Callithrix jacchus: one gene and its partners. The protein of the gene in region 2 interacts with the protein of the main gene of each other region in a pairwise test. Links are inferred from orthologs where the notes say so. Each region holds a gene or a part of one and is shown on either strand. Other genes may lie near its edges. The genes, in order: SMIM14, FATE1, SLC38A1, SEC22C, BNIP2, TMEM11 and SLC7A1.

The links.
Region 1: the proteins of FATE1 (region 2) and SMIM14 interact in binary tests that used the Homo sapiens proteins (3 or more experiments, as listed by UniProt). The two-hybrid records come from large-scale screens. The link is inferred for Callithrix jacchus from reciprocal best matches to the Homo sapiens genes FATE1 and SMIM14.
Region 3: the proteins of FATE1 (region 2) and SLC38A1 interact in binary tests that used the Homo sapiens proteins (3 or more experiments, as listed by UniProt). The two-hybrid records come from large-scale screens. The link is inferred for Callithrix jacchus from reciprocal best matches to the Homo sapiens genes FATE1 and SLC38A1.
Region 4: the proteins of FATE1 (region 2) and SEC22C interact in binary tests that used the Homo sapiens proteins (3 or more experiments, as listed by UniProt). The two-hybrid records come from large-scale screens. The link is inferred for Callithrix jacchus from reciprocal best matches to the Homo sapiens genes FATE1 and SEC22C.
Region 5: the proteins of FATE1 (region 2) and BNIP2 interact in binary tests that used the Homo sapiens proteins (3 or more experiments, as listed by UniProt). The two-hybrid records come from large-scale screens. The link is inferred for Callithrix jacchus from reciprocal best matches to the Homo sapiens genes FATE1 and BNIP2.
Region 6: the proteins of FATE1 (region 2) and TMEM11 interact in binary tests that used the Homo sapiens proteins (3 or more experiments, as listed by UniProt). The two-hybrid records come from large-scale screens. The link is inferred for Callithrix jacchus from reciprocal best matches to the Homo sapiens genes FATE1 and TMEM11.
Region 7: the proteins of FATE1 (region 2) and SLC7A1 interact in binary tests that used the Homo sapiens proteins (3 or more experiments, as listed by UniProt). The two-hybrid records come from large-scale screens. The link is inferred for Callithrix jacchus from reciprocal best matches to the Homo sapiens genes FATE1 and SLC7A1.

Annotation. Positions count from the first base shown.
Region 1 is NC_133504.1:154,165,133-154,169,121, reverse strand, and holds the start of SMIM14 (small integral membrane protein 14), read right to left. Parts: upstream 2,801-3,989; 5' UTR 2,577-2,800; intron 2,201-2,576; exon of another isoform or gene 2,096-2,200; intron 1-2,095.
Region 2 is NC_133524.1:148,013,389-148,017,579, reverse strand, and holds the start of FATE1 (fetal and adult testis-expressed transcript protein), read right to left. Parts: upstream 2,801-4,191; 5' UTR 2,719-2,800; coding exon 2,610-2,718; intron 1,615-2,609; coding exon 1,487-1,614; intron 1-1,486. UniProt on the Homo sapiens protein: Involved in the regulation of endoplasmic reticulum (ER)-mitochondria coupling. Negatively regulates the ER-mitochondria distance and Ca(2+) transfer from ER to mitochondria possibly implicating it in the regulation of apoptosis.
Region 3 is NC_133510.1:28,969,213-28,973,187, reverse strand, and holds the start of SLC38A1 (sodium-coupled neutral amino acid symporter 1), read right to left. Parts: upstream 2,801-3,975; 5' UTR 2,277-2,800; intron 1-2,276. Other genes in the region: uncharacterized protein LOC103795192, read left to right, coding at 3,061-3,336. UniProt on the Homo sapiens protein: Symporter that cotransports short-chain neutral amino acids and sodium ions from the extraccellular to the intracellular side of the cell membrane. The transport is elctrogenic, pH dependent and driven by the Na(+) electrochemical gradient.
Region 4 is NC_133518.1:80,324,041-80,328,232, forward strand, and holds the start of SEC22C (vesicle-trafficking protein SEC22c), read right to left. Parts: upstream 2,801-4,192; 5' UTR 2,619-2,800; intron 2,516-2,618; exon of another isoform or gene 2,377-2,515; intron 1,177-2,376; exon of another isoform or gene 972-1,176; intron 1-971. UniProt on the Homo sapiens protein: May be involved in vesicle transport between the ER and the Golgi complex.
Region 5 is NC_133509.1:6,442,726-6,446,817, forward strand, and holds the start of BNIP2 (BCL2/adenovirus E1B 19 kDa protein-interacting protein 2), read right to left. Parts: upstream 2,801-4,092; 5' UTR 2,618-2,800; intron 2,379-2,617; exon of another isoform or gene 2,219-2,378; intron 1-2,218.
Region 6 is NC_133506.1:64,771,995-64,776,005, reverse strand, and holds the start of TMEM11 (transmembrane protein 11, mitochondrial), read right to left. Parts: upstream 2,801-4,011; 5' UTR 2,792-2,800; coding exon 2,730-2,791; intron 1-2,729. UniProt on the Homo sapiens protein: Plays a role in mitochondrial morphogenesis.
Region 7 is NC_133506.1:148,722,719-148,726,218, forward strand, and holds part of SLC7A1 (high affinity cationic amino acid transporter 1), read right to left. Parts: intron 2,960-3,500; coding exon 2,742-2,959; intron 2,478-2,741; coding exon 2,311-2,477; intron 1,710-2,310; coding exon 1,601-1,709; intron 1-1,600. UniProt on the Homo sapiens protein: High-affinity, low capacity permease involved in the transport of the cationic amino acids (arginine, lysine and ornithine) in non-hepatic tissues.

The DNA of each region.
Region 1 (3,989 bases), on a different chromosome or scaffold from region 2:
CATGCAATGCATATTAATTGCTTTTTTCCTTGTTCTTCTTTTTTTGAGACAGAGTTTTGTTCTTGTTGCCCATGCTGGAGTGCAATGGCATGATCTCGGCTCACTGCAATATCTGCCTCCCAGGTTCAAATGATTCTCCTGCCTCAGCCTCCCAAGTAGCTGGGATTACAGATATATACCAGCATGCCCAGCTAATTTTGTATTTTTAGTAGAGACAGCGTTTCTCCACATTGGTCAGGCTGGTCTCGAAAACTCCCAACCTCACGTGCATGATCCACCTGCCTCGGCCTCCCAAAGTGCTGGGATTACAGGCAATAGCCACCACGAATGGTCTAATTTCTTAAAGTTTACATTATCATAGAGATTTGTGAGGAAACCTTTTAAAACCATCCTTTTAATCATTATGGTTTGGCAAACATAGAGTGGTGCCCCATTATCCACAAAGTATACATTCAAAGAAACCCCAGTGGGCTGGGCCTGGTGGCTCGTCATGCCTGTAATTCTAGCATTTTGGGAGGCCAAGGCCAGAAGATCACTTGAGCTCAAAGTATGAGACAAGCCTGGGCAACACAGTGAGATCTCATCTCTATTAAATTAAAAAATTATAAAACAAATACCTCTCCAGTGGATGCCTGAAGCTCATATAGTACAGAACCCTATATATAGAGACTATGCTTTTTTCCTATACATACCTATAAAATTTATAAATTAGGCACAGTAAGAGATTGATAACAGTTAACAATACAACATTTATAACAATATACTATCATAAAATTTATGTAAATGTGGTCTCTCAAAATACTCTATTTTCAAACGGCGGTTGACCATAGAAACGGAAACCCCTGAAAGTGAAACCACGGATAAGGGGGCACTACTGTAAAGTGAATACTCCCTGAAATTTAAGGTCTAAAGTCCCTATCTGCAAAACTTCAAATTATTACTCAAAAAACAGAATGTGAAAAAAAGCAACTTACGTACTGAAAAGCATACGTGGTATGATACCATATTTGTATAAAATATACAAATTCAAAAAAGTAGTTTAGAAGGGTATAAACTAACATTTTGGTGAACTTTGGGTGGCACGATTATTGATTTTTCTTTATCCTATCTGCTTTTATCAACGTTTTCTCTATTACAAAGTATTTCGTATAGCCAAAAATATTATAGGCTAGCATAAAAAGCAAAAAGCTGAAAAAAAAGAGAACTTCAAAAACTTTTTCCTTCTAAATCAGAATTCCAACTGCGATAGTAAGAATAAGGATCTCACTGGCAAACACTGGAGAAAAGATTCATTAAGAGGTCCATGCTATGCCACAAGGACATACCCTTCAAGGAAATAATCTAAATTCCTAACTCTTCCTGGATTTGCTGTTGACCACAGAAACACCTCAATTAATGAGTTCTGGGAGCGGGGGTGATCTTTTTAAAAACCATGTTAAAAAAGGACAAAAGGGTTTAGTTTTCTGGTCGGTCGCAGTGCTGTCGAGGGCCGCGGAGAGCGGCAAGTTCGGAGGCAGGCTACTCTAAAGGAATCTGCGCGGCCAGTCACCCTGGGTGGAAGGGAATGCAAGCTTCCTACAACCTCCACAGCGCTAGGCAGCGAGGATGCCTCCTAAGAGTCTCAAGACTCCAACACATGGGAGGTCTTACGCTTCCCAAGTTACAGTATGTACAGTTGCCAACTGTTTCTGACAATAACATACAAAAACTGGAAGATCTCTTCTGCAAATGTAGCTATTACTTGCATAGAGCTCATCCGACTCTCTCGATGCAAAACTAAGACATTCTGTTAAGGCCACAGCCTCGGTTTTGCCAACTGGGGCAACTGAAAACATCCTACTGACTCTACAGCCAACAAACCATCTCGGCTAAAATCCCAGCACATATAAACAGCCACTTTGGGGAAGTCTGCCTTTAAACAGCAACATGGATACAGCCGGTAACCAGTTTATCATACACTATTAGTTCCAATAAAGGGTGCTGCTACCTCTGTTCTGTCAGCCTTGGTTACACTTACTGAACAAACAGAAAAAGGGGATCCTTTAAATTCGCGACACAATAGGGGCTTAAAAGCTCTCGCTTTCCGGGTGGCAGCGTTTTCATCTCATTTATCACAACAAAGGACGCATCCCAGTGACTTCACCGTACCCAGAAAGGGCTAGGAAGCCGGGAAAACAAGATATTGTGGATTTCGGGATCTGTGAGTTTTTCCTTCTAGCTCCGACTCTTTTACTCCATGATACGCCTCCACCCGTGTCGACTATCTGATACTAAAAATAAAACCACCCGGGGCTACCGTGCCCTTTCCTGCCAAGCCCCGACTCAGACTTCCTCCAGAGAAAGCTCAATTGCAGGCTTTTCGCGGGGGCGGGGGGGGGGTGGTTGCGGGCTGGGCAGCAGCAAGGCTTCTCCAGGTGCAGAATCGCCAGCCCGGCCCAGGAACGGCCAAGCCGGAGAAACAGCCCGGTTCCGCCGCAACCGCCGCAGTCCCCGAGAGCCTGAGGAGCCCCTAGTTAAAACTGGGGCGAGGGGAGGGTGGGCCAGCAAACGCTGGTGGGAGAGGGGGAGACACTCACCCGCCCAGACAACAATCGATGGGGCGGGGAGGATGGGGGCCGGGACCGAGGCTCGGCAGAAAGACCGCCTGGAGCTTCCGGAAGGCTGCGGCGGCTCCGGACTTCGCTGCCGCTGCCGCTCCTGGCCGCCAGCTTCCTCCCCCTCCTCTGTTTTGATTCGAGTGACCACGTCACTCTTAGCCACGAGACCCGGATCTGCCGGCTCCCAAGGGCGGCAGCGCAACAGATTGCCACGCCTGGAGACTCCAGCGGCCCCGCCTGCCGAGCATGCGCACGACTAGCACCTGTCCTGTGCGTCCCGGGAGGCCTGGCAGGCACCAGCGACTTCGGGCGCCTACGCCACGCTTTGCGTGGGGGCGCGGAGCGCGGGGGATGTAGTTCCGGTTGGGAGGGGCGTGGCTGAGAGCTGAGAAGGAAACGGGGAGAGGCCGGGTGTTGGTGGAAATGTTCCGTAGCCTCTGTTTCGTTGGCGGCGGAGAGTGTTCTCTAATGTGTCTCCCTTTGCCTGAGCTTAAGAATCTTTAGAATACCTTGGTAGAGGTAGACGTGGTTAGAAATTGATGTCTGTTGAGACAGGATACCCCTGTAGAGTGTTTTTGGTCACTCAGGCCCGGATGGAAATTGGAGATGAGGATTACAAAAATATGTCAAATGTGGCAGTTATTGATTCCCTTTACCCTAACGTTTTTGCACCGGAAGGTTGACCAAAATTAAGTTCAACAGGAACATTAAAGTGATTATGTGGCCAGGCTTGGTGGCTCACGCCTGTAATCCCAGCACTTTGGGAGGCCGAGGTGGGCCTATCACTTGAGGTCAGGAGTGCGAGACCATCTTGGCCAACGGGGTGAAACCTCCTCTCTTCTAAAAACGCAAAAATTAGCCGGGCGTAGTGGTGCCTGCCTGTAGTCCCAGATGCTCTGCAGGCTGAGGCGAAGGTTGCAGTGAGCTGAGATCGCGCCACTGCACTCCAGCCTGGGTGATAGTAAGACCTTGCCTCAAACTAAATAAAGTGAATGTTACCAAAGATGACTTGTTGGTTAGGAGATAGTGGGGAAGTAGGAGGGAATGCTGTGGCTAGGCACCCAGCCGGCCCAAGTCTTTGTTGCTTTGGTTGTAGAACTGGAATAAGGGTGCTGTGTGTGGCCGAACAATCTTCTTTTTAGACCAAATTGGTGCTGCCTTCTCTCCCATTCTAGCCTCTGAGTCTCCCTGCTAAACTTTTGGGGCCCCGGAAATTTCCCAATTTGGCAAAATGTAAAACTGTATTGTTTTCTTAGAGCCTTGAATTAGCAAGCGTTAATTAAAATGGGATAAGTGGCGAAGTAAAAGTGAGTCTCAACGATTTCACAAAAGTGCCTCTTTGCCAGTCTTGACGGAGAGGTGAAAGCTGCAAGCTTTCTTACTCTGATTTGA
Region 2 (4,191 bases):
GGCAGCTTGATTTGGCTTCTGTCTTTGGACACAGGAAGCCAGATCAACATCTGACCTATTTTTATTCCCAGGAAATCTTTAAACCTGGAAGCCTTTTTTCTCAATCTTCCCTGGGGCCATCCAACAAATCATTTCAGCAATCAAGTCTCCCTCCCTTTCCCAGTAACTTCCAAACTTTTCTGTGGTAACAGTAAAAACCACCATTTTCTAAAATTTTATTAATTTTTCCTCACCAACCTGAATGTGGTGAAAAGCATTGGCTACAGAAAGATGGGATTTGTGATTCCCTAAAGCAGTCAGGTCTCCCTTCTCTCCAAAATAAATGCCTTTTTCAGTATCCTTTGCGACAATGTGGCCAGCATCTTTCTAGAACATTCAACATCCACAGTGAATGTAGCTTAAAGAATTGGCCACAGAACCGTGGGACTCACATTATTTCCTGGAGCAGTCAGTCCTCCCTCCCTCTCCAATCCTGTTGCCTTTTCCCAGCAGCCTTTGCAACAGCATATCAATTTTTCTAAAACTTTCCCTTACCCACAGTGAATGTAGCTAGCTAAAAGGATTGGCTACAGAACTGTGGAACTCACCTAATTCTCCAGAAGAGTCAGAATTCCCTCTCCCTCCAAAATGACTGTTTTTCTCAATATCATTTGCAGCAGTATAGCCACTATTTGTTCTAGAATATTTCTTCACCCATATTGAATGTAGCTTAAAAGCATTGGCTACAAAATTGTCAGATTCACTTCACTGGATTTCTTCCTTTCTTCCTTGCTTCTTCTCTCTCTCTCTCTCTCCCCCACCCCCTTCTTTCTTTTTACAGAGTCTCTCTCTGTTGCCCAGGCTGGAGTGCAGTAGCATGATTTTGGCTCATTGCAACCTCTGCCTCCTGAGTTCAAGCGATTCTCATGCCTCAGCCTCCTGAGTAGCTGGGATTACAGGCATGTGCCACCATGCCCAGCTAATTTTTTTATTTTTAATAGAGATGGGGGTTTCACCATACTGGCCAGACTGGTCTCGAACTCCTGGCCTCAAGTGATCTGCCCATCTCCTCCTCTCAGAGTGCTGGGATTACAGGCATGAGTCACCATGCCAGGCCACTTGACTGGATTTCTTAACAGCCAGAAAGGATAGGAGCCTCACCTGACTTATTGTGTGTATACACACACGTGTACCACACACATAATTTTAAATACAGGAAAGCATTATTTCACGCAATAGATTTACAAAGTAAAGTATTTATTTACTCCCTAAGCAATATTTGTTTCAAGAATTCCGAACTCCCAAGGTTGAACCTCTAGTATAGGAAAGGATGACCGTGACCTTTAACTGGACCTTCCTTTCCTCATTTGCCAGCTCGGAACACAGGAGCTTTCTCTTCCTCCCAAGTCAATGTCTAGCCCTGACTGACCTGGTGAGGCAAGAGCCCCTACAAACAGTACTCCCAATCCCAACCTGGCCACCTTATGCTGAGGACCCCATACAGTACCATTTTCTTGGGCCGGGTGGCAGTCATATTCCAAACTGGTTTGGCTTCAGCAGAGCCTGCAGCTTTTGATTCCACCTTCTGCCTCTTCTGGGGGACACTGAGGGACCGAGATCTATGATCCATCACTTCTAGAGAGAAGAACAGAGGCCTCAGGAGCACCCACAGAAGTTATACCAGGGCTTTTTGGACACGAAACACAGCATAAAAGAAGGCAGAGGCCACAGCCTTCTCGGGAATCACTCAACACCCGTTCAACACTATCCACCAGCTGATCCCAGGCCTCAGTTTGTTCATTTGTTCAAAAGTTAATCAAGCATTTCCTGATGGCTGAGCTCGAGACTAGGTTACTCTCTATTCACTTAGAAAGCAATGATCAAGAACAAGATTCCAGCTCTCAAAGAACTGACCATCTGTTTGTGTATAAGGGGGAATGACAGGTGTACAGCAGAAAGTAATCTATCCTCGCAAATGCAGACAGAGAGACACAGGCTCCATAAACGATCAAAACATGGTAACATAGTAGAAGGAAAGGGCTCCCTCTAAAAAGTAGGAGACAAAAACTGAAGCAGGGACCTGAAAGAAATAAAGGACCCAGCCCTGGGAAATTGAGGGAAAGCACATTCCAGACAGAAGAAACAGCAAATGCAAGGTCTTTGGGGAATAAGCACGCTTGCAGCATTGTAATAACAAACATAAATGCAGTGTGATCTTGGCCCTTTTGTGAGCTATAGAAATGATATTTTCTGTCTATATCATAGCATGAAATGTTTTGAGGAGGCTGATACTATCTTATAGACTGTGGAGTTTGGACTTTCCTCTGAAGGGCAGGGAAATGAATTAGAGCATTGGGAGAGAGAATTGATCTCTGATCTTGTAATTTGAGCTCTCTGAGTATTTTGCAACAGACATGGTGGTGGCTTGGACAAGTGGGAGACAGTAGGAAAAATGCTCCCTTTTCCCTACCTCCCTTATCATCAACCCACAAATCCTCGAAGCTCCCCAACACACACATGTGCAAACACTTCCTTGCACACATGCACCTTTTCCAACACACACATGCACAGGTATAGACACGTATCTACAGAGTTGGCTATAGCCAAGTGGTATTTTAGAGGATCCTCACCTGCTATCCCCAGGTGCTCTTGGTTTTGCCCTTGGCTTCCATGATTCAGTTCTTCAGCCAGGGATATTTCTACCTCCTCCCTGGTGCTGATAGGGCCTCCTGCCATCATAACCAGCTGTTCACTTGTAAGCAATGGCTAAAAATGTGCAGGGTGCCAGAAACAGAGGAGTCACACTCAGAAAATCGCCTCTTCCAGGGACAGGAGCTCAAGGAAGATATAGTAGGACCTGGGGGTGGAGTGACACTCCCTCTCTAGGCTGAGGCCTTGGACTGAGTACCTTCTGTTCCCATTGTATCTAATTGGTTGGGTCCATGGCGTTCTCCCCTGCAACTCTGTAAGCAGCTTAGAAGAGATACAACTCCAAGCTTTTGCCTGTGAGAACTGCTCTGGCTCATGGATCTCCAGATTTAGCTCATGGGGGATCCCATCATCATTTCTAGGCAGATGCAAGGATTGGCACAGGGTCCAAGAGCCACACAGTGGCCACAGCAGAGTTAGGTCCTAGCAATCCAGGCCATACCATGCCTTCAAAAGGGATTCTCTGGAGAGCATATCCTACCTCCCATATCCAGAGTCCCCAAACACAGGAGGCAGCCTTTTTCTGAAGTCGGTCAGCCTAGGCAGGAGCCATGAGAACCAAAGGAGGGAAGGGTGAAAGAGGTGTGACCTGACTGCAGCCACTAGAACCCCAAGGGCCTCAGGCCCTGCACCTTCTAAGTTCCAATTCTCCCTCAGCTTACCTACTGACTAGACCACTGTGATGGTCAGGTTTATGAGTCACCTGGGCCAGGCACTTGCCCCTGGTGATTCCATCAAACACCGTGTAGGTGTTGCTGATGAGGCAATTTGTAGCTGTGATTGGCATCTACAACCAGTGGACTTGAAATAAAGTAGAGACTCATCCTCGATGATGTGGGTGGGTCTCACGCAATCAACTGAGAGGCCTGAAGAGCAAAGACTGAGGTTTCCAGAGAAGAGGCATTTCAACCCCAAGACTGCAGGGTCAACTCTTGCCTGAGTCTCCTGCCTGCCGGCCTGTCCTGTACATTTCAGACTTGTGAGGCCCACAGTCACATAAGCCAATTTCTTAAAATAAATTTCTCTATATTTGTGCATATGTAGATACATACATACATACATACATACATACATACATACATACATATATCCTATCAGCTCTGTTTCTCTGAAAACCCTGATTGCTACAACCACCAATGCTGAACCCTTCATTTAGGAAACAACCCCAGAGCCCCTGGGGTAATAGGAGGCTATTTGTAAAAGGAATCCTTTATAAACCTGTCCTGGTTCCTTTTCCAAATAGCCTCCTCTTCCCCCAGAGTCCCTGGGCCAAGTGGGAGGAAGAGGTGGAAGAAAGGAGGAAAAGAGGGAGGGAGGAAGGGAGGAAGGGAGATAGGTAGAAAGGGAGGGAGGGAGGGAAACAGAGAAGAAGGGGCCAGGACTAGCTGAGATAGGGCTGCTTGGTCTGAGACTGACTGCCCCCTGCCCCCATCTCACCTGTCCAGTGCTGGGGCCGAGCTCTTGGGAAGCAGAGCTGATGTAGTCCCTGCCTGCATTCCTGGG
Region 3 (3,975 bases), on a different chromosome or scaffold from region 2:
GCAGCAACAGCCAGATGTCAGACCTTCTAATCATGGTGCTCCTTTCATTAAATGGCCTTAATTCATGGAGCATTGTAAAAACTTTATGTAAACAACATACATATAGTTTTAAAGAATCCAAAACATCTTTAAAATCTATTCATCACATCAGCTCAATTATATTGCAGTCAAAGAAGAGTGCAGTAAGTACTTGTTTTTCCTTCTTCCTGTTCCTTCTGCTGGCTTTCTTCCCTCAATTATGAAAATAGCTGATCCCTTTCCACCATTCCGGTCTCAGGACAAATGTTATCCCCTCACACTGGCCCTCCTGGTGAGTCACTCTATTTCAGGCATCCTACCCCATCACATGATCCTGTTTTATTTCTTCATTGCACTAAGAATACCTGAAATTTATATGCCTACATTTATATAGTCTGTTTCTCCCCGAGAACAGAAACTTCACAGAAGGCAAAACAAATCTTGTTAGTTGCTGCCAGTCACACAGTAAGCCCTCTGTAGAAAATGTTTCTTGGCTACATTTTTTTAAAAAGCAAATAAACTTCAAGATTAATACCTCAAACCAATCTAGGCTGGTTTCCAATTGCTTACGACATACTGAGAACTGAAGTGACTCTAAAGAGCAAGGCTATTTTGAGGCTGGGGTCGAACGAAAATCCACGGGGTCTATGCCATATCAGTACAACGGAATTGACTGTTTTGCAAGATTTCGGGAGTACCAAACGGGCATGAGATGTTTGACAACGAGGCCAGCCATACACCGAGCTCGGGTTTTATTTCCCTTGTCCTTCTGACGTCAGAAAAAGCACGAGTTGCTGCACAGTTTCTTTTATCAAGGTGACAAATTACACCCTCGCTGGGCCGTGCATTCTGCAAACCATAAATTTATTTTCCTCCTCCCCTTTATATTGAAAAATGTAAAATCCCACTGCAGAGATGTCAAAACCCCTTCCAAACGCAAATGAATACCGTTTTCAAGCAGAGGCGTCTTTTTTCACTTTTACTACACACATCACCGTGGATTCCTCTGAGAAAGTACATGATCCTGGCGGGAGTTAGGTTTCTAACGGAGAAAGAGGGTTGTTAAAATCCCGGGTTCGCGCCGCAGAGCAAGACAAAGGACTCTCAATTGTAGCACCACCTTTCCCAGACCAAGGCAGCCTGTGAAAGGCACTGGGAACTGCGTAACGCGGAAACCGCGAAATTCCTTTTGCTCCCATATGCACTTGTGCCTTCTCTGACTACAGTTTAGCACAAACCCCCGGCGGGCGATTTGGCAGGGAATCGGTGCCCAGGCAGCCCGGTAACCTGCAGGGTCCCAGTGGGTGCTGAGGAGCCCCATGCACCGGGAGGTAGATAATTTAGGGGGCGAGGAGCTCGCACAAGGGCGAAGGTGCGCTCTCCTCCCAACACCTACCCACGCGTTTGAAGGCCTCTGTGGCAATGTTTAGGGAAGCTAGCTAGGTGCCGGGGGTTGGGGAGGAGGTGGGACTAGAAGCGAGCACAGTCTGAGACCAAGCCCGCGCAAGAGGTGGCCTTTTGTTCGCTGGCTCCAGCAGATTCCGGCTCTCGAGAAAAAACACTACCTCTATCCCCTGTCACGCTCTGCATTTTAGAAAAAAAAAACCTCTTCAGGGCAGGAAAGGACAGTAAGTCACTGCAAGCATCCCTTAGTAATTTCTCCCCGCGCCCTCCTATTTCCCCGCGTTACAAAGGGACAGAGAACACCAGGAGGGATGGCAAACGTGCTCCCGTTTACCGATGCTCCGCGGCGGCTACCCAGCAGACCGCACGCAGCACCCCTGGGACATCACACACTCTCCTCTGGGCCTTGCGGACACAGGAAATTTCCCTCAAAGGTTAAGGATTCAAACACTCCTAGAACACGGTCGCGCCCTCAAGTAAGCTGCGCTCTCGCTACAGACCTGCGTCGTTCCTGGCCCTTGTAAAAATTGAACCACATTTAGTCCCACACGCTGCCACAGCCACGGGGAAACAGACCAAAGCCACAGGAAAACAAACCAAAAAGTAAGCCACAGCCCACGGAAAGGTCAACTCGGGGGCCCTGGCGCTTCCTCGCGCTACCGCGTGCATTCGGGAAACACAGGGGACCCGGACTTTCCTTCTCCTAAAAGCAACATCCAAACGCTTCGGGCACAGCCCATGCTTTCTCTGCTTTCACGCCGGCAGGGATGATTTCTACGTTACCGCCTTCTCTCACATCTAAACATCCCCCCGCCGCTCGCCCAGCCCTCCCCGGGAACTGAAAACCACCTTACCTCCGGAAATAAGGGGAAAGGTGGCGAAAGGCGATGTGAAGGTGTCCGCCCTTCCGGGATTTTCACCCTCGGCAGTTTGATGTCCTTTGTGTCAAGGTCTGGCTGTGGCGCCGGGAAAAGGTGGCCCCCGTCAGTGAGGGCTGGGCAGGGAGCTTGGCGTGGCCTGGCGGATTTCCGAGGAAGGTGAAGGGCGGAGGCTCCTGGCGACCTTCAGGCGGAGTGGCGTGGCTGCCCCAGTCCGCGCTCGCCCGGCTCTACTCCTCCTTTCCGGGCCGATTGCATCAGAATCTCCCCTCACCAGCAACCCCCACTCACACTCTGCTCTCCGGCCCCGCACTTACAGCGACAAGCACGGGCGCTGAGGGTCACGAATCGGAGTCATTCTCCTACTGTGGGGCACGTCGCCCTTCAGCAACCACGGCTTGTGATGGTTGAACGGGGACAGTCAGGCCATTCCTCCCCGTCCCGCGCCCCGTCTCCTCCCCTCCTGTGCGCCCGCTCTTTAACCAAAGCTGCGTGTCACTGAGCCGTGCCCGTCACATGGTGCCACTGCTGGCGGCCGCGCCTTGTTGCCTCCCTCTCGTCGCTCCCTGACGATGCAGCTACAGCGGCTGACGGAGACTGAGCAGCGGGGAAAGGGTGAGGGAGGGGTTGCGGGTCGCGCGGGTGTCCGGCGCACGGAAGGTGGCACTGGGAGAGAAGGCTGCGCGCCGCCTGGCACCTGCCCTCGCCCTCCTAGGGCCCGGCGGCGTGCTCGGAACCCAGCGGCGATGGCAGCTGGAAAATGCGAGCCCTTAGGGATGGGGGTGCGGCCGCTAAAGGGACACCGGCGGAGGACAGGAGGGCTGTGCGTTCGGCTGGGGCCTGCGTTTTGGGTACTCCAGAGCCCCGCCGGGGCCGAAGGAGCGAGGGAGTTGCATTGTGGGAAGGGGAGCTGCATGAGGATGGCCGCCGGAGTGGCGGGTCCGAGCGCAGCCCCGAGAGCCGCGGGCAGCGCCCGGGACTACGCGTAGCGTTGGAGCAGAGGGTTGGCGCTGGGGACGGCCGGCAGATGGCCCGGGTTGGCGAGAAGGGGACCGAAATGGCAGGGGGAGGTGGGAATTCGGGCACCTTTGGAAACCCTTTGTCCCTAACCTGAACGGGAGGCACCTCCCCTCTTCCGGATCCAGCACCCGCAGATCTGGCGAGCCCTCCCTGAGGTCTGCCCTGTGGAGCTTTGCTTTGGGAACTGAGTGTGAAGCGACCAGGAGGATTTGTTGAGCGCCGAGAGAGCACCTGTCTAGGCGTGAAGAGGAGGGGGCTAGGTCGTGGAGTGCCTGGTGACCCCACTTGGTTCCACCCGAAGGACCTGGCGCGCCCTTCGCCAGGTTAACGGAGCTGGGGCGCTTCAAGTCCGGGGGACGAGCGAGCGGGATGGGGGGAGCGGGGGAAACTGGGCCTGGTTCCCTTTTTTTTCCCCGCTTACTCTTTGTGTCAGACACAGCCCCCTTTCACTGTCTGGGCATTTCCTTGCATAGGAGTTGTGTCTTCTTAAAATGGCGACAGGAAATCCCACCTGCGCTTCAGCCAATTAGACTGTCATTATAGAGTGAATGAATTTGCGGGGTGGAAACGCGAGCTTTTTGCTGACCGGGATGGTTCAGTCTCATGTTCATGGTTCATCAAAACAGGAAAAGGAAGGTGAATCATAATTCAAAAA
Region 4 (4,192 bases), on a different chromosome or scaffold from region 2:
ACTGCTTGAGTTCAAGGATTTAAGACCAGCCTGGGCAACATAATGACACTCATCTCTACAAGAAATAAAAATGAAGATGCCAGGCATGGTAGTGCACACCTGTGGTCCCAGCTTCTCGGGAGTCTGAGGTGGGAGGATCGCTTGAGCTCAGAAGGGCTGTGTGAGCTGTGACTGAATCACTGCACTCCAGCCTGGGTAACAAAGTGGGACCCTGTCTCAAAAACCAACAAAAAATCAATTCCACAAGGACGAAGGCAGCTTCAGAATGTTCGTAGAGACACTAGAATGTCTTTCAGACCTTACGGGATCCATCTGCAAGGACGTGGATGTCACTACCTACCACCTTGCTGGCACGTACTGGGAAACACTCAGTAAACACTGCAAAGCAAATGAATGAATGACCTGAGGGCTGCCTTGTTGTTGCTCACTGAAACAAGAAATGCAGGTTTACAGATCCCTTGCCATAATTCTGATCTATATTTTGAACACTTTTCTGCAATAAATCTGTACTTGGAAAGGAAAAAAGAAAATTTATACAAATGAAATTTGTCTAAAAGTAGAGTGAAGTAGTAATCAAATACACAGCATCCGTGTTACTAGGTTTTATAACAACATATTTTAATCTGCCTCCGTTATTTCCTAAATCCTCTTCCTGACACCTGTTTATAAACTGCTCATGTCATACATTATCCCTGTTCAACAGACTCTGTGCCTATGCTGGAGGCTACTCTTCCTGATTTTCCTTCCACCTTCTACCCTTAACCCCTCCTCAAATCCCTACCACATGTACAGAGAGAGAGAGAGAGAGAGAGATGACTGCACCTTGTAAAATAGGAATTTGGACAAAGGCTTCATTTGGGACACAAATATTCAAACACAAGCACTTACCATAAAGTATATACAGAATACAGAAGACTCAAATGCACAATACAGAAGACAAAACTGAGTTGTGTCACCCTTACTGAATTCACCTTCAGCCACAGGACTTGAGAACTGTTGACCAAATGTGTAGATTCTATTAAGGCTCCAAGTTGCTTGGGGATGGAGTGAAGAGGAGGGTGGAGATCAGTTCTGCCGTTTGTTGGGAACTGAGGGGGAGGAAACTGAACTTGACAGTAGCTTCTACCCTGATACGGTTGTTAAATGCTTGTAACTATAAGGTAGACGTAATCTGCACTGGAGAAGTAGGAAAACTGCAGCTGTAATGCTCAAGAGCCAGATTCAAAGCCAGACTTCCTTACTTCAAATACCCTAAAGCCTGCCATCTTGCCATCACATCCTGCTTCTGTAAGTCCACCCTCTGGGACTACAGCTACTCCTTTTCTCTAAAATAATTTTTTTTTGTAAAAATAATTTCTTCTTCTTACAACACTAATAAGGTAATCGGAGACCTGCTGGTGGAGGAAGGAGCCTGAGGCTGCAGCTGATCCAACTGTCCTTTGCCCACGGAACTGCCTTGGAGTCGGGTTGTTCTCTCTCTCACCATGCTACTTTCTGAATGTAGGTGACTTCTACGCTATTCTAAGAACAAAAACCACTGGGACTCCAAGAGGGCTTCTGCTGCAAACACAAACACTTACATCAGAGCTATTAACAACATGGTCCAAAATGCCCTTTCCAGAGGAAAACCGTTCATTCAGTTCTACCTAGCAACGTTAAACCACTTCCAACTGCTTCCATTTTTCATTTTACTAAAATTATCTTTAGCCGGATCAGCTCTTCTCTGCAAAACGTAATTAAATGTTGCCCTATCTGTTGGTTCTGAGCTGCGTTTTTTTTCCGACCACGTCACAAACTTCGCCAATTACTTCCCACCACTGGCAAGAGTCTTTCGTGGCTTGGATTGCTACAAACCTAATCCCGCCCCCCCGCCCCCCGAGTGCTTTATCCTCCTGGCTCTGGGGGTCTACGTGTAAATTGCAACGAACACACGACCCGGAACGGAACGGCCTGCGCCCCGCGCTCCGAGAGGCTCCGTGTATTGGGAATCTGAAGTCCCGGGTCGCGACACGCTACGGGGAGTCCGCTGTCGAGACGCGAAACGCTCCGGGAGCTTCGCGGACACTTAAACACACAGTCGCCCCCTTCGTCACTCCCCATCTCTTCCAACTGGGCGCCCGTCTGCCAGCGCAGGGTTCCTGCAGGCGCGCGCCTTGGGTGGCCCCAGGGCCCGGGCAGAGGCTGGCGGGAGAAAGAGGACGGAGGACTCCAGGGAGCCCAGCGAAGCCCCGCGGGGAGCCCCATGGACGAGGCCCGGCCTGAAGGCGGGGCGGGCCTTGCACCGCCTCCACCTCTGGGCCCGCCCTGCGCCACACCCGACCCCGCCTGCTCTCGGCTAACGGGCAGCGGCACCCGCCTCCGCCCGCCAACCCTCACCTCGCCCCGACGGCGGCCTTCGGAAGTCGGCGCCCGCCCGCCCGCTACCCGCCGCCTCCTCAGCCACCTCAGCCGACCGGGCGGCCCCGGCCCAGGTCACCGGCGGCCCAGGCGCAGGTAGGCGGCGGTGCGCGTGCGCGAGTCTTGAGTCCCCACTGGCTGCTGCTAAGCGACGCCCGCACCCAAACCGACCAATCCCGGCGCGCCTCCACGGCCCGGTCTTGGCGGAGGCGCGAACGTACTGGTTCTTAAAGAGCTGCGAGCCGGCCGGAGACGGGGCGTGGCTGCGGCGCGCGCCTCCCGACTCTCTTCCCGCCTCCCGGCTCGCACCGCGACGGTTTGAGGTCCAAGCCGGTAATTCTCACGTCCGGGGGTGAGAGGACGTTTCGTGGTCTGAGCTCGATTCCTGGCCGGGGTAGTAACCGGCCTGACGTCGGGAGGCGGGGAGGTTCCGCGTGACAGAGCGACACGCCCGGGGCGTGGGTTCCGCGGTCCGCGCGGCTGGGCGGGAGGCCCGAGATAGGCAGACCAAAGAGCACGACCGCTGCCAGCCTGGACGGGGCGCCAAAGTCCGACCCAGGGGGACACACCCCAGGCTGGGGCGGAGGCGCCGGGAGATGGATGACCGGCTGCGAGGAGATGAGGCGGCGGAGTCCGTCCGCTTCTTCCTTTAGCAAGGATTGAGCACCTGCTGTGTGCCAAGCGTCGTGGAAAAACTGTGTTGGGAGACGAGGGGAGGGGCAGAGCACCCTTCCAACAACCAAACCCCTGTATAAATACAAACTGCTCTTCAGGGAGGACCAGGGGTTTTGAGGGAATTTGCAGACGCTTCTGGGCTGGTGTGGAAATCACAGGAGGCCGGCTGGGCAAAGGGGAGAGAGCAGCATGTATGTCAGAACCCTGAGGAAGGCAGCAAAGCTCCTTGGAGGGATGAAAAGAAACCCGGAGAGGGCGGAGTGCAGAGTTCGTGCCTATTTCAGCTGGAAAAGATGAAACATTCTGGAAATGGACAGTAGTGATGATCGCACAGCGTGAGTGTACCAAATGCCACAGGTCCGCACACTTAAAACATGGTTGTGTACATTCTACCGCAAAGAGAAAAGAAACTCAGAGTTTAGAGAGCAACGGAGTGGAGTGAGATCCACTAGAGCGAGCAGAAGGGGCCGGACCGTGTGGGGTCTTATGGCCATAGTGGCAAGTTGAGGACCATGCAACACCGATCACAATTGCATTTTATAAACACACTTTAGCTGCTAAAGTGCGTGTCAAAATGGAGAAGTCTCAACAAAGCTATGGTGGGACTGGCCTGGGAGCCAGTGCAGTCATCTGGGCAAGAGAGAATGGAACTGGAGTGTGGACTGGGGTGAGAGTAAAGAGAAAGATCTAAGCAGGCTGCCGCGAAATGTAGGAGCAACATCAACAGGACTTGGTGATGAGCTGGATGTGAAGGGGCAGTGAAGTAGCTTCCAGCATGATGCCCCTGGTCAGCCTTGAATGAATGGATGGCTGGTGGAGGAATGCACAGATATGGAGAACACCGGAACAGGAGAGAAGATTGATCAAGAGCTCCAGCTTTGCCAAGATGAATTTGAGGCATCTTCGAGACTTTTGGTTAGGATGTTGCAATGATTAGTTTTAGGTGTCAACATAACTAGATTAAGGGATACTCAGATCTCTGGGGGACATTATTTCTGGGTAAGTCTATGAGTGTGTTCCCAGAAGATACTGGCATTTGAATCAATGGACTGAGTAAGGAAGGTCTGTCCTTATCCCATATGGGCAGACTGAAGAAAAAGGCAGAGGAAAGGCAAATTCT
Region 5 (4,092 bases), on a different chromosome or scaffold from region 2:
CAGTTTAACAGTGCTGCTCCAATACGTGCCAGAAACGACTATTTATGCTGAAATCAATTACAGTGGCAGATGGAAATGCCCAGGCAAGTCTTTCACTTCCCCATTTAAACAAAATGGTTTCATTCTAAACATTTCTGTTCACTTTTTAACGAACAGCCTGTACATTTAGGCGATCACCAAACATCCTTAGAAAAATCCTATATACTTGCTTGTCATTGCTTCCATGAGGGGAGGGGTATATCGTTTTTAAACAATAAAATAAGATGCTCTATCAGAAATGTTAACACAAGCCAGGCACGGTGGCTCACGCCTGTAATCCCAACACTTTGGGAGGCTGAGGTGGACCGATCACCTGAGGTCAGGCGTTTGAGTCCAGCCTGGCCAACATGGAGAAACCCCATCTCTACTAAAAATACAAAAATTGGTCAAGCATGGTGGTGCCTGCCTGTAATCTTGAGGCAGGAGAATCGCTTGAACCCAGGAGACAGAGGTTACAGGGAGCAGAGATCGAGTCACTGCACTCCAGCCTGGGTGACAGAGCAAGACTGCATCTCAAAAAATAAATAAATAAATAAATAAATAAAATAAACGTTAACAAAAATGTAAGAGGAAAAACTAGAGTGGCGATGACTTCTCTCAAAATGGTGAAAATAAAGCAAAAGACGATGGTGCTGCCTACGAAAGTGACCTTTACTGAATTATCATTGCAGAACATACAGAAAATGCTGAGACCTTAGTTTGCTGTAGTCAGAAAAATTAATTGTAACATAAAACTATAATCGTGGAATATTACTATCATCGTATTACACTAGTATTTTGCTTCATAGCATGTGAACACAACGTGGCATTTCTTTTTTCCACCAGAGTGGCGGCTCGGGGACACACACAGTCTCACTTTGTAGCCCACGCTGAACCAGTCTGGAGTGCAGTGCTGCAATGTCAGCTCACTGCAACTTCTGCCTCCCAGGTTCAAGTGATTGCTGTGCCAGTCTCTCCAGTGGCTGGGATTACAGGGATGTACCACCAGGCCCGGCTAATTTTTGTATTTTTGGTAGAGATGGGGTTTCACCATGTTGGCCAGGCTGGTCTCGAACTCCCGACCTCCGGTGATCCGCTGTCTTGGCCGCCCAAAGTAACAAGACATCTTTGATCCTACCAGCCAACTTTGACTTCCTGGATCTGGTTACACATGCTTTCTCCGACACCCTTCTCCCTATTGTTCCTTCTACCAGCATTACTCCAGATCGAACAGAATTTTTCCAGAGTGCTTTTCACATTTACTAACCCCTTTGATATCCATCATCTCATGTTCCAACCAGTCACTTTGCGATGCATGACACTTGTGTTATCTTCAGTTTATCTTACATGTGAGGAACCACATCCTGGTCCACCTACCTAGTCCAGAACTGCCTCTAATACAGCGCACCGTCTGCAATGCATTGGCAGCTGCATACAGAATAAGCCCGTAGTGCCCGATTTGGTGGCACTTAGCTTCAAAGATATTGTAATGCCTGAAGACCATAATAGCACTGACTTATGATAATCCAGTTCAAGTTCCGTTTGCAGAAATCGATCTGTCATACTTCCTGTCTAAGCCCAACTATGTTAGGCTGCACTACAGATTATGAAGACCAGGAATAGAGTTTAGAGAAACCGAAAAATAACAAGAACTAAGACGAGTATGTGCAAAATGATCAAGAAACTAGTGTGCAAGGGTAACTTAATTGGGTAACGTCGTCACTTGCAATTCTGAGGAAACATCCATTCACAAAGTACAGTATTTGTTTCTACATCTGCAGATATGCCAGTAAAATGTTAGAAAAATAACACATTTAACTGAAAATAAGAAATCAGGTATTAGGAGAGACAGAGATCCTAATCAAGAGAAAGTGAGAATGAAAAAAGCAACACTAAAATGCAATCAGATAATTCATTCGATGAAACAGGAGACTGTGCCTATCTTGATGAACACGGCAAAAGCTGTGCCCTCCAAGAGCTCACAGGATAGACAAGTAACTCTCCAGCGGCAAGAGATGCATCCAGAAATGCAAACCATTGTGCCAGGTATTTAAACAGAAAAGGTGGTGTCGGGATCCCAGCGGGGACTGGACGTTTGACGTACACACTCTAGATTTGGTTTAGCGCGCTCGGGAAGATCTATAAAGCCCGGATTTCTTACGCTGCTCCCGTGTCTATTCCCCGAGGTTACAAGGCGTACCAGAAGTCCAAGTTTCTTTGTTCTGCACCAGGGCGGACGCTGGTCATAAATACTGAACCATCGTGGCCCAGCCACTTCACCCACACCGGGGTAAAGGTGGGGGAGAGGGGGAGGCACAAGGTTCTATCCCGAGCACAACTACCAGAAACGGAAAAGGGGTGGGGTGGGGGCCCAACTGCCAAATACAAACAGGACCCGAGCCAAGGGCGGGGACCTACGCTGGGCGGGGATCCAGGAAGCACCTCCCGAGCAGGTTCTATGGCGCCCCCTACCACGGGTAACCTTCTGCGTTTCCTCTCCCCGGGCGTCTTGGGTAAGCGCCCGACAAACCTGCGCCCCTAGGCCGGTTCCAGACCGGCTCCGGAGCCACCGTGCCGAGTCCCCCCAGGCCGCACTCACCCCGGAGGAAGCCTTGGCCCCCTCGTCCTCCTCGCCCCTCCAGGCCGGCGACGTGGGGCTGACGGCCAGGTCGCAAAAAGCGGCGCCGAGCGGAGCCCGCTCCCCTCGGTCGGCGGTGGAGACCCCGGCCCAATCCCCCGGCCGCAGCGGCACAGCGGCGACGGCGGCAGCTGACCCGGAAGCAGTGAGAGATCCAGACGGAAGTGACGTCACTCCGACGTCCTCCGGGCGCGGCAGCGGAGGAGGCGGTGGCGGAGGCGTGGCGTCCCCTAGAAACCCACACAGCACCCCCCTGGCCCACTCAGACCGCCCGGGCTGTCGCTCGCGTCAGCCTTCCTCGCCTCTGGGCAGACCCGTCGCTTCGAGTCCTTATTGGTGGCGTTTACCGCGCCTCGAGGCGTTTCTTCTTTGTTGTGCGCTGGGACGCTGCCCTGTAGTCTCCGTCATTTTTGTTTTCTTTTTGCCTCTCTTTATGGAACATTACAGTAGGTGAAATTATCCCTATCAATATATTATAATGCAATAGGTGCAATTACCAATAGCAATTTTATAACAACAGGGGCAAGTGTCAGTATCATTACGATAGGTGCAATTATCAACGCTCAATAATAATGTGAACAATGTGAATTATAAAATGAATGAAATAAGGGGAGGAGGCCGGGCGAGGTGGCTCACGCCTGTAATCCCAGCACTTTAGGAGGCTGAGGCGGGTGGATCACCCTAGGTCAACAGTTCAAGACCAGGCCGGGCATAGTGGCTCACTTTGGAGGCCAAGGTGGGTGGATCACCTGAGGTTGGGAGTTCATAACCAGCCTGACCAACATGGTGACACCCCGTCTTAAAAAAAAAAAAAAAAAAAAAAAGTTCAAGACCAGCCTGGACAACATGGTGAAACCTCACCTCTATTAAACATACAAAAATTATTGGGACGTGCTGGTGGACACCAATAATTCCAGTTACTCAGGAAGCTGAGGCAGGAGAATCACTTGAACCCAGGAGGCACAGTTTGCAGTGAGCGGAGATCATGCCATTGCACTCCAGCTGGGACAACAGACCAAAAACGCCATCTCAAAAAAAAAAAAAAAAAAAAAAAAAGAGAAAGAAAAGAAAAGAAATAAGGGGAGGAAAAATATCCGAGACTTCATTTTGGGGAGCTAGGCCTCAGAAGCGTCCTTGGAGTTTGGTAATTTCGAGTGTGAACAGCTTTGCAGCAGTGCTTCTCTTTAATGTGGGGAATGATATATTAATTTTTAAAAATTTTCAATTAGTTGATAAAACAGACAAATGAAAAGACACACAAAGTCCAAATGTAAACTTTTTATCGTTAGGGTTAACATCCATAAAATTACCCGGAAAATTGCTATAGAGTTTTCTACTATCTCTCTGTAGTCTATTTACAAACAGTTCTCAGAAAAGCCCAGGTCTACAGACCATGGTCGGAGTACTCAAAGTAAACTATTCAAATCAGACCATAC
Region 6 (4,011 bases), on a different chromosome or scaffold from region 2:
AAGGCAACCCTCTCATTGTTGAGGTTTCTTTTGGATTTCCTTCCAGCTCACATTCTACCACAATTTTAGCTGCTTACAATCCTCTCACGGTCCTTCATCACCTATGGTGTGTGATTCCTACTCAGCACAATCCAGAGGCCCCTCCTTAGTTAGAAAATTGCCTCACTCTCCAAATTCAACTGCTTACCTTTCCTGTCTGGAACTTACCAGCCTAGTAAATTCAGAGGGTTTGTAGGTACACAGATGTTCTATGCCTTGCCTAAAATGCTTTTTTGCCTCCCAGCCAACTTCTATGCTTCAAGACCTTGTACCTGTCCGGTGTCTAGAAAGTACCTGGTCTTCCAGTTGGGTCATACAGCCCTGCCTCCAAGTGTCAGTATAGCCCGTGCTGGAGACCTCTGGACAATTCCACAGTATGACCCTGCCTGCAGATATGCCTGTCTTTTCTCTGGATCAGTGTGGTGATTCAGAGGGTACACTAGGGATTCCAGAACGTACTTCTTCTGGCTCAGGGGCTGCTGGTGTAGCTTATGTTTCTCAGCTGCCTGGTTTGTGTCATGGGATGATATTATTATGGTACCTCCCCTCAGAGAATTGCTGTATTTCCTGAGGTGATACATATATGGAACTTAGAAAAACAGCGCAAGGTAACAGTAACAACTGATTATTATGTAGTGCCAAGTGCTGTTCTATATTTTGAGTGATCTACATCTTGATCTTCACAACAACCCTATGAAAGTGATACTGTTGGCCGGGTACAGTGGCTCACGCCTGTAATCCCAGCTCTTTGGGAGGCCAAGGCAGGTGGATCACCTGAGGTCAGGAGTTCAAGACCAACCTGGCCGACGTGGTGAAACCTCATCTCCGCTAAAAACACAAAAATTAGCTGGGTATGGTGGCATGCGCCTGTAATCCAGGCTACTCAGGAGGCTTAGGCAGGAGAATCACTCAAACCCAGGAGGTGGAGGTTGCAGTGAGCCGAGATCACATCACTGCACTCCAGACTGAACAACAGAATGAGACTGTCCAATAAAAAAGTGATACTGTTATTATCAACAATCTCATTTTTCTTTTCTTTTTTTTTTGAGACGGAGTTTCGCTCTTGTTACCCAGACTGAAATGGCACAATCTTGGCTCACCGCAACCTCTGCCTCCTGGGTTCAGGCAATTCTCCTACCTCAGCCTCCTGAGTAGCTGGGATTACAGGCACGCGCCACCATGCCCAGCTAATTTTTTTTTTTTTTTTTTTTTGTATTTTTAGTAGAGATGGGGTTTCACCATGTTGCCCAGGATGGTCTCGATCTCTTGACCTCGTGATCCACGCACCTCGGCCTCCCAAAGTGCTGGGATTACAGGCTTGAGATACCACGCCCGGCCATTTCTTTGAGTTTTCTAAACACGTTATTTCCTATTACTGTTTGCATTAAATATCTTGAAAATGTTTTTGTTAAGGGCGTGTGAAAACCAGTGAGGTAACTCATTTAAATAGCCCAATCTAAGAAATACCAGGCAGGAGTTAGAAAAACGAAAGTGTTTGCCATTGCTTTTCCAAGGAAGAGGAAAAGCAGAATGGGCAACGTTGGATAACCGGGCTCAAGAATAAAAGGCGAGCTAAAGGATTCTATGGCAACTGCCAAACAGGAATAATCTTCCTAGCTGGGAAGGCCATCTGCAAGCAATAGCAATGAACACAGGATGGAATCAGTTATAGAAAAGGAATAATGCGGAATAGTAGAGAGGAAGAGAACTTTTCTGTTAGACAATCCTCACCAAAAGAAAGACGGGGTGGGGTGGGGTGGGGTGGGGAGTGGGGGACCCAGCAAAACCCAAACTTTCCTTTTTTGCTAACGGCTGCTATTCCAATCAAGCTTTAGCGGATAATTAATCCAGGTGGCTCCACCAGTATACATGGTCTCCCAAACTTCTACTGGCTGAACAGCTTCTAGTGACTTCCACTAGCTGAAGCTGCTACCTAGAAGCAAAAACTGCAACTTCAACATGAAATGCGGAAACTACTCCAACCTCATCCAGAAATTGGTTATTCAAACGGAGGTCCCCCTTTGAAGAAACACGCTCCTAGCTCCCTAGCGACATACCATTCATTAGTAAAGGTAACTTTAAAGAACTTCCACGGCAGGAGCGCTCGCACAGAACAATCCAAAAGTCTCCAGAATAGCCCCCTCGAGGAAGTGGCCGGCTCCGGGCCCGGAAGAGACACATGGAGCGGATGGGGAGCTAAAGCTCCCTGGTAAACGTGCGGATCAAACTGCCCCTGCAGCGGCCGGCCTTCTCTGTGAAGGCTTCCCCTTCTTCTCTCTCCGGGGGCCCGGTCCTCCTCGCCACGTCGGGGGCCGCGGCCGAGATGGCCCCGCGCGTGGCCAAGCGGGGAGGGTGCTTCTGCCGCCGCTTGGCCCGCGGGCAGCTAGGCAGGTTCCTGGGGCCTGCGCGAGGCGCCAGTTCCTCTCCGCAGAGCCTGGCTTTGGGCCCCGCCCCGCATGGCCGCTGCCCACCTTACCCAGCTCGGGTAACCTCCCTTCCCCTAAGCTCTCCGCCGAGACCTTCGGCCTGACTCCCACCCGGATCCCGGATCCTCCGGAACTGGAACCCCGTATGCCCGGCGGGGGTCCGGAGAGCCAGGGCAGGAAGCCTGGTGCAGGCCCCGGAAGCCGCGCTGGGCTCTCCGGTCCCTAAGCCGCCTGCACCGGGAGCAACAAGCCCTTGGGTCTCACCTCTCTCGGGCGCTGCCGCCACTGCTGCCCGGGCCAAGACGCCTCCTTCCCCAAGCGGCCATCTTGGAGACACTCTGCTCGCCAACGTCTCGCGCCAAGGCGGCATCGGGAGAGCAGACGAACCGACGGGAAGTGTAGTCCGGCCCGCTATCGTGGGCCGCTCGGCGGGCAGAAGCCGGACCCGGCGGAACTACCGCGCCCACAAGTCAGCGCGCCGGAAGCCCCGCCCCCGGGGTCGCTGGGGCCGGTAGTCCTTCTGCGAGGGCGCGAGGCCCCGGGGAGCAGTCCTGGTTCGAGCACTTAGGAAGAAACTGAAGTTCCCGGCGTTCTCAGCCTGGGAGTCACCGGCGCCTACCCGCCGGTATGTCCTCGGGTTTCATGAGCCAGTAGCAGTTGGAGAGAGGACAGGAAAGTGCCTACAACTCCCAGAGCGCCGCGTGGAGGCGCCCGGCCCTGCAGCCTCGTCCTGCCAGGCCGCGTCTTTGGCCAGGGGGCCACTGCTCTGTCTGCGGGCCTCTAGCGCACGGCTCCTCCGCGTCGACCCTCCTGCCCTTCACAGCCTCGGCCCGTAAGGTCACTCTTGTTACCTTACGGTAAGCCACCGTGCCCGGCAAAAATCTCATTTTTCAAATGAGGAAATCAACTTACAGAGGACTTGTTCACACTGTCAGCCGGGAAGGGTGCTGGGATTTGAGTCCAGACTGACCAGTTGCAGGGATTACACTCTGCCATTGTGCCTCTCAAGAAGCACTGGAGGCAGGTCTAGTGCACAGAGTCAATGTAAATGCGCAAACAACTGTGGCCCTAACGACCCTCCCATTTCTCCAGCTTTTACTCTCCCCTTACCTTCTGTATCGCCATCTGCTTCCAGTTTGCCAGCTTGGGCCAAGATCCTCACAATATTGCCTCCTGGTTACTGTGAATGGACAGAGGTTGTCTGGAAGGATCATAGCCTCATTGACTCAGTGTGTATTAGCTGAGCACCTACCGAGAGCACAGCCTGAGTGGTGGGAATTAGTTCCTGAGGGCTGTCATAAAGTGGAGACTCCCGTGAGCCCTCTGTCCTGCTGTACGAAGGTAGCCAGTGGAAGGGCATGTCCTAGCTGGTGCTCAAAGTAATCTGCTACTTCTCTTACTACACTTTCATTCATTCAGTCTTTTTTTTTTTCTGAGATGGAGTTTCACTCTTGTTACCCAGGCTGGAGTGCAATGGTGCGATCTTGGCTCACCCCAACCTCCGCCTCCTGGGTTCAAGCAATTCTCCCGCCTCAGCCTCGTGAGT
Region 7 (3,500 bases), on a different chromosome or scaffold from region 2:
GGAGAGATGGGTGTGAACAGAGTGCTGGCTACACCACCGCGGGCAGGGCTTAGAGCCCAGGGCAGCCCCACAGCAAACCCTCTCAGGCGGCCTGCTCCTGCCTGGCATGAGCCCACAGCCAGCAGCCCTCGGGACCTTTCCACATCTGGAACAGCTGCCACATGAAAACCACTGTCTGCCTCTACATCTGGCAAAGCCCTACATTCCTCCGGATGGCCTCACGCTGCGGCGTTTCCTGAGCAGACAGAGCAGCTGGGCCAGGGCCACCAGAAGCCATTGGGTCCTTCACCTTAACCCCCTAATGCCCCCTGAGGCCACAAGAGTATCAGGGATGTACACTATGGAGACGGGATTTCCCGCAGGTGCTGGAGGTCTCCAGGCTCTCAGCCTGGACAATCCCACTGCCCCGTTTCCTCCATGCAACTGACCATCAGACTGTAAGAGACATCCTGAGCCCTGGGAACGGACTGCAACACACTGAGCCCTGGGAACGGACTTCACGCAGGAGTCCACAGCCTGTTCCTGCATCCAGGACTCGGGTGGGTCCAGGACCTATGCTTCTAACCACCTGCCCGGGGACTGTGGCCAGATGGCCCCAGGGCCACCTTGTGTGGTTGACACAGGAAAGCAGGCCTCAAAGCAAGGACTCAGACACGCAGAACCCAGGAAAGGAGCTCAGGCTCCTGAACACGGGGACTTTACAGGGACGTTGGGAAAAGGTACCCTCTGCCTTCACCAGGCCCTGCGGAAATGACCACAGTGGGCTGTGAGCAGCGTTTTCTCAGAAACGCTCTAGGAGATGTCTAACTAGACATGGGCTGCACTTTGCAGAGAATGAGGACCCACCTTGGTGCCAGCAGAAAATGGGCCGCTAAGTGTTTCCTGGAGGAAAAGCACCCCTCAAGGGTCCTAGGAGATGAGGCAGCAGCCATCTGCCCACAGCATGCATATACGGGTCTGGGAGGCTGTGGGGACATGGTCCTGAGGGGCAATGGCAAGGACCACATCCCTGGCTATCAGCACTACCACTCAGATGCTGAGAGGAAGGAAATGAGTCCCTCCCCTCCAGCCCCTGGGGTGAGATGCCCAGAGGGGTGGGACTCGGCCAGCCCTACAGGCTGCACCCAGCCCTGGTGATCTATCTCACGTGGAAGCCCCTACCCCAGTGGCATGACCCATAGGCTCCAAAGCACCGTCCTTCACAGAGAAGACGCCATCACAGAGGAGCCCATGACAGCCACCCCTGCCTGGGCCTCGTGCCCATACCAATCTGGTGCTGGGCAGGCCAGGGGTCCAAAAGACACAGGCCAGACTTTCCTGTCTGGGGTGAAAATAACTGGTACCTTATCTCTAGCTGACTCCTCACCTTGTTCCTGTTAATATCAAGGTCTTACCCAACAGAATAAAAAGTTTGGGCAAGAGGCAATGGAAACAAAAAGTATCTAACAGGGAGGAGAGGACTCACAACCTACCAGGGATTCAGCATTATCTCTGAGAAAGCTGCTGACTGCATGTGTGTCATTGTGTTATAAATCCTGAAACAAGGGAGGCCCCCAAGAGAAGCCAGGATCGTGGACGTGCTGGCGGCAGCATCACATACCTATCAGCATCCACACGGCAAACCGGACCCAGGTGCCCTGGTCCAGCTGCATCATGAGATAGACGTTCACGAAGATGCTCAGGATGGGGAGCACTGGCAGGAAGGGAACCTGCAGAGACAGGAGGTGGCATCAATCCGCGGCAGTGGCGCCAGTTCCAACAGTTCAGTAACACTGTCTAGCAAAAGGCAGCACACCTGAGAGTGATGGGGACTGTCGGGTGAGCGTGGGGAAGAGAGGGTGCGTGCCCACCACCACACCCCAACACCCCCACTCCACACACAAACCCAAGGGTAAATCCTAGTAGGTGGGGATTTGGTTCTAAGCTCTGAGTGCCAAGTGAGCTCCATTCTGATTTTTCTCTCTTATGATTCTCCCACTAAAGAAAGGACCTAGAAGATGGACCTCCATTTTACCTCTAAGGTCTTTTTTATTATTTGTGTAATCTAAACATGTAGAAGCCTTGCCTGTCTCCAAGGCTTGGAAAAGTGCAATCAACCTGGGCAGGCATTTACAAGAAGCGGCCCACCACCGGAGAGCCAGGGGAGGAGGGTCCAGTCCTCTCGGTGCCTTCAGGGCCCCTGTCCCAGTGCCTGAACTAGCCGGCTAAAACCTTCGTCGGGCACCCGGGCCCAGCTGAGCCTGTGCAGAGCTGGGGTCTGTGTACCAGGGTTCCTTCCCTGCAACAGGCCCACTAGGCCAAGCTGCTCACCTTAAATGAGAGCTTGGTCTTGCTCTCGGGCTGCCTCCAGATGACGACCGTGACCACAGCACAGAGGAGGGCAGACCCTGCCAGCATGAAGACTGCCCACAGCGCCCCTTTGGTGAGAGCCTCCTTTCCAAGCACGGCCACAATGCAGAAGGTGATGATGAGAACAGCTAAGGGGGAAGAAGAGACAGAGCGAGCTGCAACTCAGCCATTTCTCAGTTTCCCACAAGCATGTGCTGCTCTCCCCAAAACTTGGGGAGAGAGAGGCTCCATTTCCGAAGGCATCAACAGCAGTTAGCACAGAGTAACTATGCCTCAGTCCAGGAGCAAGGCAGACGCTCGTCTTCTCTGGCACCCTCCCCCAACTCCAGCTCCACTGCCTAGAAACCACGCAATGCCAGCAAGCAAGGCCCCAGGGAAGGGCTAGCTCTTACCTATGAGGCTCGTTGAAATGTTCACGATTAGCCCAGAGACTTTGGAAGGCTCCACGTTTTTGGGTGAGAGTATGGTTTTCAAGGAGAACATCTCTGCCTCCGGTAAAAAACCCAACTGGGAATCACTGGTGCTAGTCAGCTCATTTTGGTCTGCATGATCTAACTCATCGGAAGTACTGGCCATCTGGTATACCAGGTTAGGTTGCTCTGGCTGATACCTGGGAAGAAATGTATTGTGTGACCAACCATTATCCACTTAGAGCAAAAGGGCAATGCACCAACCCACGTTCTGCAAAGTTAGTTTCTATAAAACTACAAAGTTAGCTGCCTGGGACATGAGGTATGAAATGGGAAGGAGATAGTCAGAGGCTGCACACTGCAGACGAAGAGGAGAGACTGGGAAGGTCACCTCCTGCTCTTGCTTCTGGAGAACACCCTCCGTGGTCTGTTTCCAGGCAACAGGAACTCCGCCATGAGCAACCCCGAGGAATACCCTGAGAGAAGTGGCAGTGGCCCTCAGATGCTAAAGATACTAGGCCACTTCCCACAAAACTACGTATAAGGAGCTAAAAAGAAGGACAGAAATAGAAAGCAGGAACACCAGGATCCTATTTGGCACCAAGAGCCAGAGGAATGTGGCTGCAGGCTGACGGATTTGAGAAATTCTGTTTGTGTGATTTAATTGGATCAATTTATTTTTAAAACTCCAAGCGTCCTGGAGTAAATCATTGTATGTGGCTGGTCGGAGGGCCGAGCCTG